2 linked regions of the Bombyx mori genome follow. The protein of the gene in region 2 interacts with the protein of the main gene of each other region in a pairwise test. Links are inferred from orthologs where the notes say so. Each region holds a gene or a part of one and is shown on either strand. Other genes may lie near its edges. The genes, in order: interferon regulatory factor 2-binding protein-like A and MCAK.

The links.
Region 1: the proteins of MCAK (region 2) and interferon regulatory factor 2-binding protein-like A interact in a two-hybrid assay, tested with the Caenorhabditis elegans proteins (2 studies listed by BioGRID). The link is inferred for Bombyx mori from reciprocal best matches to the Caenorhabditis elegans genes klp-7 and ifbp-1.

The regions. Positions count from the first base shown.
Region 1 is NC_085124.1:13,141,616-13,146,019, forward strand, and holds the start of interferon regulatory factor 2-binding protein-like A, read right to left. Parts: upstream 2,950-4,404; 5' UTR 1,424-2,949; coding exon 757-1,423; intron 1-756.
Region 2 is NC_085111.1:18,675,992-18,679,823, reverse strand, and holds part of MCAK (kinesin-like protein a), read right to left. Parts: intron 2,587-3,832; coding exon 2,393-2,586; intron 1,134-2,392; coding exon 1,029-1,133; intron 1-1,028.

The sequences.
Region 1 (4,404 bases), on a different chromosome or scaffold from region 2:
CGGGCTCGCTTTCGAGAACGCTCAACTAGTCCGACCGGTTTCGTATTTATGGACTGTGTTAATGCACCTACCTAGATATCATTCCCGAGGCGGACGCTTGCGCAAAACATCTACAGTCATTATGGGAGCACGTTCGCGTCCGCTACAATCATTAATGTTATCATCATACAGCTCGTATATTTGTAACATTTGAAATAAGCAACCGTTTCATAAATACTGGTTGCGTGTTATTTGTAAACAATAGTTTAATTCTGTTTTGTAATTATTATGCTGAATTGTAATTTTCGTACTGAAGTTAGTTAGTAGGTATTTCAGAATCTACAAATATTTTTAGTCGTTAGTTTAAATCGGTTATTCCTTTAAATTTAACGTTGGTAATTCTTTTACATTATTACATTTTCATAATCATAGTGTTTAAACAATCATGTAAATATTGAATTGTACATTGATAACAATCCAAACATAAAAAGAATAGGCAGTAAATAGTAAATGTTCTATTCTAAATTGTAATGTCTGTGCATTTTCCAACAGTTTTTTGGCATGGATAAAATTTCAAATATAGAGGAGCATGCATGCTATGAAAATTAATAATAATAATTTGTTAATCAAAATACATACATTTTGCAATTATTCTACACACAAAATGTTTTTTTAATTTATTTTTGTATAATGAAATCGGTTGCTAATTGTTTTTAATGCATTTAAAAAATCGCGAATTAGGACCGGGTTTCCTATGAAAAAAAAAAAAAAACTCACCATTCGTTTTAAACGTAGTTCCATCAAAAGAAGGAGTACGGAGAGGATGTTTCTCTTGTTTGAAAACGCGATCTGGCGCGAAAGGAGCAGCTAGTGATACTGCTGGCAGTGAATCACCACGGGTTAGAGGCGGCCGAGAGTGTTCTTCTAGAAGTCTTTTAGCTGGTTCGTGATGCGACTGATGGTCATCATCATCCATTGGTCGTTTTAAAGTGAGACCAGGAGCAAGACGTGCCCCTGCATGTGCCGGAAGATGATGTGTAGGTAAATGGGCTAGTCGTCTACCCTCATGTTCGTCTCTTCGGCTTCCATATTCAGCCAGAAGGCCTGCACTAGCCGTAGGTCGTGGATGGTGTAACGTAAAACCAACCGTCGGTGTATGGTGAGCTGGAGGTGCAGGTTGTCCTCTTGTTGTTTCTGCTCCATTTTGATGGGCTTCTAAGGGCGTACGATGTGCTCCTTTTGCATGCGACGGACCACGACCTTCTTGGAAACCATGAGCGCGTTTTAGTTGTCTAGCTGTTTCTAGAACTACTTCGATTCGATCGGCGCCCTCGTAATTTACACACCCTCGACACACTGCTTCTGAAAACTCATGCAACATTGCCCACGGCATGCGGGGCAAGTCGCAGAGGTAGCAGTGTTGCCGTTTCTGCATCACCGACATCTCGCCGCCGGGTGTAGTGCGGAGTGCGAGAGATCGGTTTTCTTCGTTTCTCTTGAAAATTGTCACTGATTTATTATGCCTTCGGGAAAAAACACTGTCACCATGGTAGTCACAAATAAAAACACAAAACTTCACATTCGACTTCGCGGACGACAGTTGTTTGTTGCCACTACATAAAAGACACTAGCTTCTTTAAGAGGTCGAGGAAAGACTGAGCTTCGGCGGCGTGTGTGTGGCGGGGGGGCCGGGCGCGGCAGCCATTATCGAGCGGTGACGTCAGCGCGCGCAGCACCGCCACGCCACCGCGACGAGGACGAGCCGTTAGCCGCGACGCGGATGCGCCACTCGTCCCGACCCCGACGACGCGCTTATCGCACGATAACGACGAACCCGTCTAAATACGCATTGAAAAAAGCAATGAGGTTACCTACTCAATTTTTCGAGAGTTCAATGGTGTAGTAAAGGTAGGTAGGTGCCCTACTCTATATTAAAGTACCTACTTATTATTGGCATAGATTAAGATTTCTAGCCAGTCTTAGGTACCTACTTAATAGGAAATATACAAAAGCGTATTCACGTAGCCATAAATTAAAGTAATCAAGCTATTAATAGGTATTAAATTCTTTAAATTAAATATTTAACGCAACTGCTTATTTACAAAAGCGTATTCACGTAGCCATATCTTAATATGGTAATCAAGGTATTATTATCAAGTTCTTTAAATGAACTATATAACGCAACCGCTGTTTACGTCAGTTTAATTAGAACCACCTATAAATGAATCACACAGTCGCCATACATACTGACACGGCCACGACCCTTTATTCATAGTCCGTGTTATTCAACGAAAGTAAACAGCGTGTTGTAGAATAACAATTAGCGTTAAAATATAACGTAGACACGTCCGATACATTAAATTTCAGTATATTCTCTCCCATCTATTCTCGGTCGGTTTCCTTTCTGACGGCTGCATTCTAAATTATTATTATTACTACTACCAAGCGACTGGATAGGATCCGGTTGGCGTGGAAGCGGGGGGACGCGACCGGTGTGTCGGCCATCTTGAGACGTGACGTCACGTGACGAGTCAGCCGAGCGTGCAGATCGGCAACGTCGCACCGTTCACTTTGCCTTGTTGCCGCTCATTTTTGTTGTGCTTAATAATAATGGAAACAGCTCTCATCACTTTTTGTATGCAGCCGAGGATCGGAGAAAAAACAGTTATACGGCCAGGTAAACGTGAACGGTCGACAAGAACGATTATATCGCTTATAATAAATTAACACGTTTTTGAGTTTTAACGTTGTTCTAAATACGTCATTTTGTAACACAATACCTGAATATGGTCATACTTTGTGTACTTTTAGTGACCGAATATATATCGTTCAGTAATGTGAACTGCAGTTTGATTTCAGCCATCACTAAAAAAATCATTAATTTAACATATTTATTCCACAGACGGATTGCAAAATTAAGTCAACGTATTCTGTATCCACTATCTTCTATCAGCGATTATATCAGTGTCTACTATACATTTTATACTCATCGTTATTATTTGCAATTACTCGTTTAATTCATCCACCATTCATTTGTCTTTCTGCACTCCTATTTCTATCTATATTTTTACATGGATACAATTCTCCATTTTTGATAATATTCCCGTGATACCTACGTAGTACGTATTTATAAGAAAACTTTGTTTAGTGACTTATTTATAATATGGCATCCTCCGTGAAATGTGACGGTTGCTGGTGGTAAGGTCATCTTGTCAGCCTATTCGGATTGGTACTATCGTCCTGTCTATTTTTGCCGTGAGACAATTATACGATTCGGTTTAAAAGATGGGCCGCTGCAATTCGCAGCGTTACACTTCATTAAGCATGTAACTCAAAGCAGAAAATGCTTTGGGTTCCGAACCCCGAAGGCCTGTAGTATCCAAAAACGGACATTACGTTAATAGTATTGCTGTATTTGTAGTAGAAAACAAGCTTATTACAGTACGTCCACTGTACAAAATCATTAAATGCTTCATACAAGCAGTGCGATCCACATTTGCGCATATAGAAACAAAAGACAAAGCCTTGATTGACTCTGAGGAATAACGGAAATCGATTATGAGAAAACGCAGGCAACATACACTGTACGAATGATTCAACACTTCTAATTCACTGGATAGATAATCAAACACCCGGATAGCAATTTGAAATTTCAGTGTTCATTGTTATAGACGGTAATACATTGGCGGCATTGGTCAAACTGTTGAAAGCATATAAGCGAGTAATCAATATATTATTCGGAATACTTGGACAATCAAAGTCAAGCCTATCTATTGCTACTAACCTGTTATGCTAGTTTTACCGAAAGTGACATATAATTTTAATTATCGTCATTTATTATTAGCCAGATGACATGGAAGAAGGCTTGGGCATTGTCTTGAACCATTCAACACAGAACATAGATGTGGCAGCTGATATTGACAGTAAAATCACGAGACTTTGGAACGAAACGGTTTAAAACGTCAATTTTATAAAGTTCGGACAAAAACTTAATTGAAATCGTGTTATCCAAGTGTAGAAATATTTACTGGAGTTTGATGAACTGTAGCGTCAAAGCTCCATTTCAACATTAAAACGAATTAAAAATGTGTCCAGAAATACAATGGAACATAATTTGAATTACCTCACTATAATGAATATAGTGTTATTTCTGAATTTGCACACACTAAATCAAGAAAAGTCTATATGTTAATGTTCTGTTTTCTTTACATTAATTTTTTTTCAGAAGGAATGCTATTTAAGGGCTTTATAATCATATACATATACTTTAGGTTTCGGGCTGGCCGTATTCGGCACTGCAACGAAGGTATCATATGATTTATAGGTTCCGTTAATCGCTTAGCAACAATCGTGCGTTTTATCTATGTCTACCTCAATCCAAAACATTAAGATTACTATATAGTGTCATCGCACCTTTTAATGTTA
Region 2 (3,832 bases):
TTTTTTTATATATGTGTTTCTTGCACACACAAGTACGTGACATAGGAACCCAATAGCTCAGGGCCGATGTGGAACGTAATTTTGTTCTTTATCCGTTAATCTAAAAGCATAGATGGTAGGAGCGGCACACGACTGGCCTGCTACTTATGTTGTCACCGGAGCCCAAGAGCACCAGTGTGGATGTCGCCACCAATTGAGATACAATCGAAGTCTTCATGGCACTGTGACGTCGGTGCCAGAAACGGCCAGGACGGTGATAGGCGGACTCCCTACCCACCATTTGTCATGATGTCATTACTACGGACGCATGAGAAGGCCGGAGACACATTACCATACCACACTGTACATTCTGATAAATAGTCAGACAGACCAATATCATCTGTAGTTGTCGGTCGTGTCGTAATTCCCTGGGTTCATAATGGTATTACATATTTGTATTTAAGCTCAACACTAAACATTCCCGTGGTACATCTTTTCCAATAATTACATGACATTTCGAAACACATGCATTTACCGAGAAAAAGCTTGTCCAAAAATCGATACAATAAATTACACCGAAATAGGCAATCTCAATGGGGTCATTTGCGTTTTTCTTTGGCGAGAAATAAAATATCGGCTAAAAGAAGCGTCGTCGCCCGACGTCGTGGGAAGGTGATTCATCGCGGACATGATGTCACTGATGATGTCCAAATCAAGCTTTATTCGTAAACAGGTGAACACAAACGGAGATCGAATGATGGCGGCATCGATCGGAAACGAATAGACTGCGTTGCAAATGTAATACAGCACAATACAAACACTAAATGGACCGTGGTTTTGTCAGGGGCACGACGAGCGACCGTAACCGATCGCCATCGTCGATCAGTGACAAAAGCACGTTCCACAAAAACACCATAACAAGCCGAACGTGTGCAAATCATAGATCGTGGAGCAAAACAACCGAAAAATGTGAAAGAAAATAAAATGTCGGTCCGCTCCGGGGCGTCGACGTGCGTATGTATGCGTGGAACGTGCGTGAGGGTGAGTACCGATCGTGAGTTGCGCACGGGCAGCGTGTGGCCGGAGTCTCCCGCCTCGCCCTCGCCGCCCTCCTGCAGGAACCCGCCGTCGTCCGAAGAGGAGCCCGACGGATCCTTCGTCAAATACACACGTGCCGGTCATACATCATGGTTACTGTGCTGCACTTACTCAATTTGTATCGGGACACTTGATCGCTCCGTCGATTTCCATCCGTCTAGTTCGTAATGAAAGTGAAACTGAAATGCTGGTGTTATGAAAATCGATAACCGGCGTGCGTCACAGGTGGGCACACAGGTGGAAGGTCGTTCACAACTATCTATCAGTCATTGTCATTGAGCGGCGTCCACTACTTGCTGTCCACGCACTAGACTCGGAGCGTGCCCGGCGGCCTCATCGATTAGTCTTGTCAACTAGCTGCAACATGTGCTTAACGTTGCGCGTCAGCAAACAGCAGCGTCGCCTTGGTAACCAAACTATTTAATAACAATAAACAAGCTCTAACTACAGTGCTTCTAGGTGATCACCTGCCAACTGATGATGTAAGGGAACATGTCTACATTTTCTCCGATGATTTTGCGGTGGCCGAGACTTGATAGTGTCGAGTTTCTAACCACACCACGCACGATTGATCGCTATATGACCGGCTCCGATGCTGACGTCATGATTAAAAATATAAAGCTGATGAGCGGTAACCGGGGCGCCACAAACAAAGCGCACATTCGTCTAACGTGATACTAGAGGTGCAACTGTAGCGTGGCGTCGATTAGCAACGTTCTTAGCGACCCAAACAATGAGAGTGATCGCGGCTTGGTACGCGTTCGACTCGCACTCGCGAATCGATAATGGCTTTCGATTTTTCACTAAAATTCGAAATCGATTAATATTAATCGTGAAAGCGAGCATAGATTCTGCAGTTATATCATTTTCAGCTTTCCGAGGGTCATCCTTATCGATGGACGAATTTATTGAGCTAGGTTCCGATGCGCCAATCAAACCGAGATCCAGTGAATGCGAGGTTGTTCTTTAATCAAAATGAATGCATAACCTACATGCTAACTGATTACTTTATAAATAATAAACGTATACGAATGAGGTAATGTTTTCAAGAACAAAAGATTGGCGTAGGTACGCACTATCTTAGTCGGCATCTCCGTAATGAAATCATGTATCTGGACAAATGACTCACTTATAATTTATAAACTAAACGACTTTTAAATTGATAAATCGGCATCCTACGTAGCAGCAATGCACATTGCGTGCGGCCATCGACTCTAAATCGTTGTACTTTGAACATAATCTACTACTACATCGCACTAGTTGTAAATGTTAACTAATCGGTACCAAGGTATCATAAATGGAAAAGCTAACAGACCCTGGCTAGTTTGTTGGGCATCGGCTGCAGGTGCGGAGTGTGGTGCCGCGGCCCACTCGCCAGTTCAGGGTTCAGCGCTAGGATGGCATCTATCTCGATCTCCTTGCCCTTGGTCTCGCCGCGCTCGAACCATTCCACAGCAACTGAGCGCGTCTCCAAGTTAACTGAGGCCACGATCGCAGAATGGACCCGACCTGAAACATTACATTTTACTATCATTAACATTGTAAATATATTACGTACACATACAGATTTGCTAATGCAAGCCGATAATCTTTTTAGCCAGTTTAAACTGGTCATTATATATGACGAGTAAGTCACAGTAGACAGTAAATGATTTAATGCACCTTTATGCACTTCGACAAAAGATATCGCACACTTAAACCAGGAAAGCATGACTATTTTGTAGCTAAAATATACAAGACAGCGTTACTAGCTTCGTATTAAAATAACGAGCAGAGCAAATTGGGTTGATAATAATTAGTTGTAGTAAATTGAGATAGATATAAATCAGGGTTACTGATAAGAACATGCACAGTATAGCACATCAAGGTGAAACGGCCCCCGGGACCTTGCATTTCCGTGCGGAATGTGTGGACAGAGAATAATATGCGGCTGTGACCTTCCGTGAACACTGTTCTTCATTCGTCTTTAGTTTTGTTTGAGCAGCCGTCACAATAGCAAATAGATAAGCAGCCGCCACAATAGCAAAAAGATAGAAAGTAAATCAATTCAGGGTCTTATATAGTTTCTTTTTTGTTATTTTAATCGAAGTATTTTTTCGTTATTTGTAGATAATTCTTGCCAGAACTCTGCCAATGGCGGTCCCAAGCCCGGATTGGAAAAGAGGAGGGTTGAGTTGGAGTTCGACCTTTCCACCGTAAAACGTCAACGCCGAATGTCTGGCGGCGGTTAATTAGCCGAACCCAAATAAGGCTTCAGCGGCCTTGAAGAGCTAAATCACTTCCAAAAGCACTGCCGTGGTAGGACGTGGGAACCCACCATGTGTATTTTTCCAAGAAAGCCTCATGAGGCCACGACCCTCAGGATTGAGGACTATCGACGCAAGGAGGAGGAGATAATTCTTGTAAAAATGAGGACAAATTCTAATGATTCTATTACCGCGTGTTCTCTTAGACGGCTGCGGGAATAACATCGTGAAATTAACAAAAACCGCAAATTTATTATTAATTTGCATTTTTTCTGGAAATTCATATTGTGGATACACAAATAGCACATACAGTTAGGTTCCATCACAGTCTTTTACTATAATGAAGCAAGAATTCGTTTTAATTCAAAGAGTAGGACAGTGGTTGAATTAAGACTTCCAGCTAAAGTCTCAAGACGAATGGCAGTATTCATGTCCAGGTAACCACTTCACACCAGGTGTGTTGTGAAAAGTCAAGTCAAAGCAAATGATGACGATAATAGCGTGGTTCA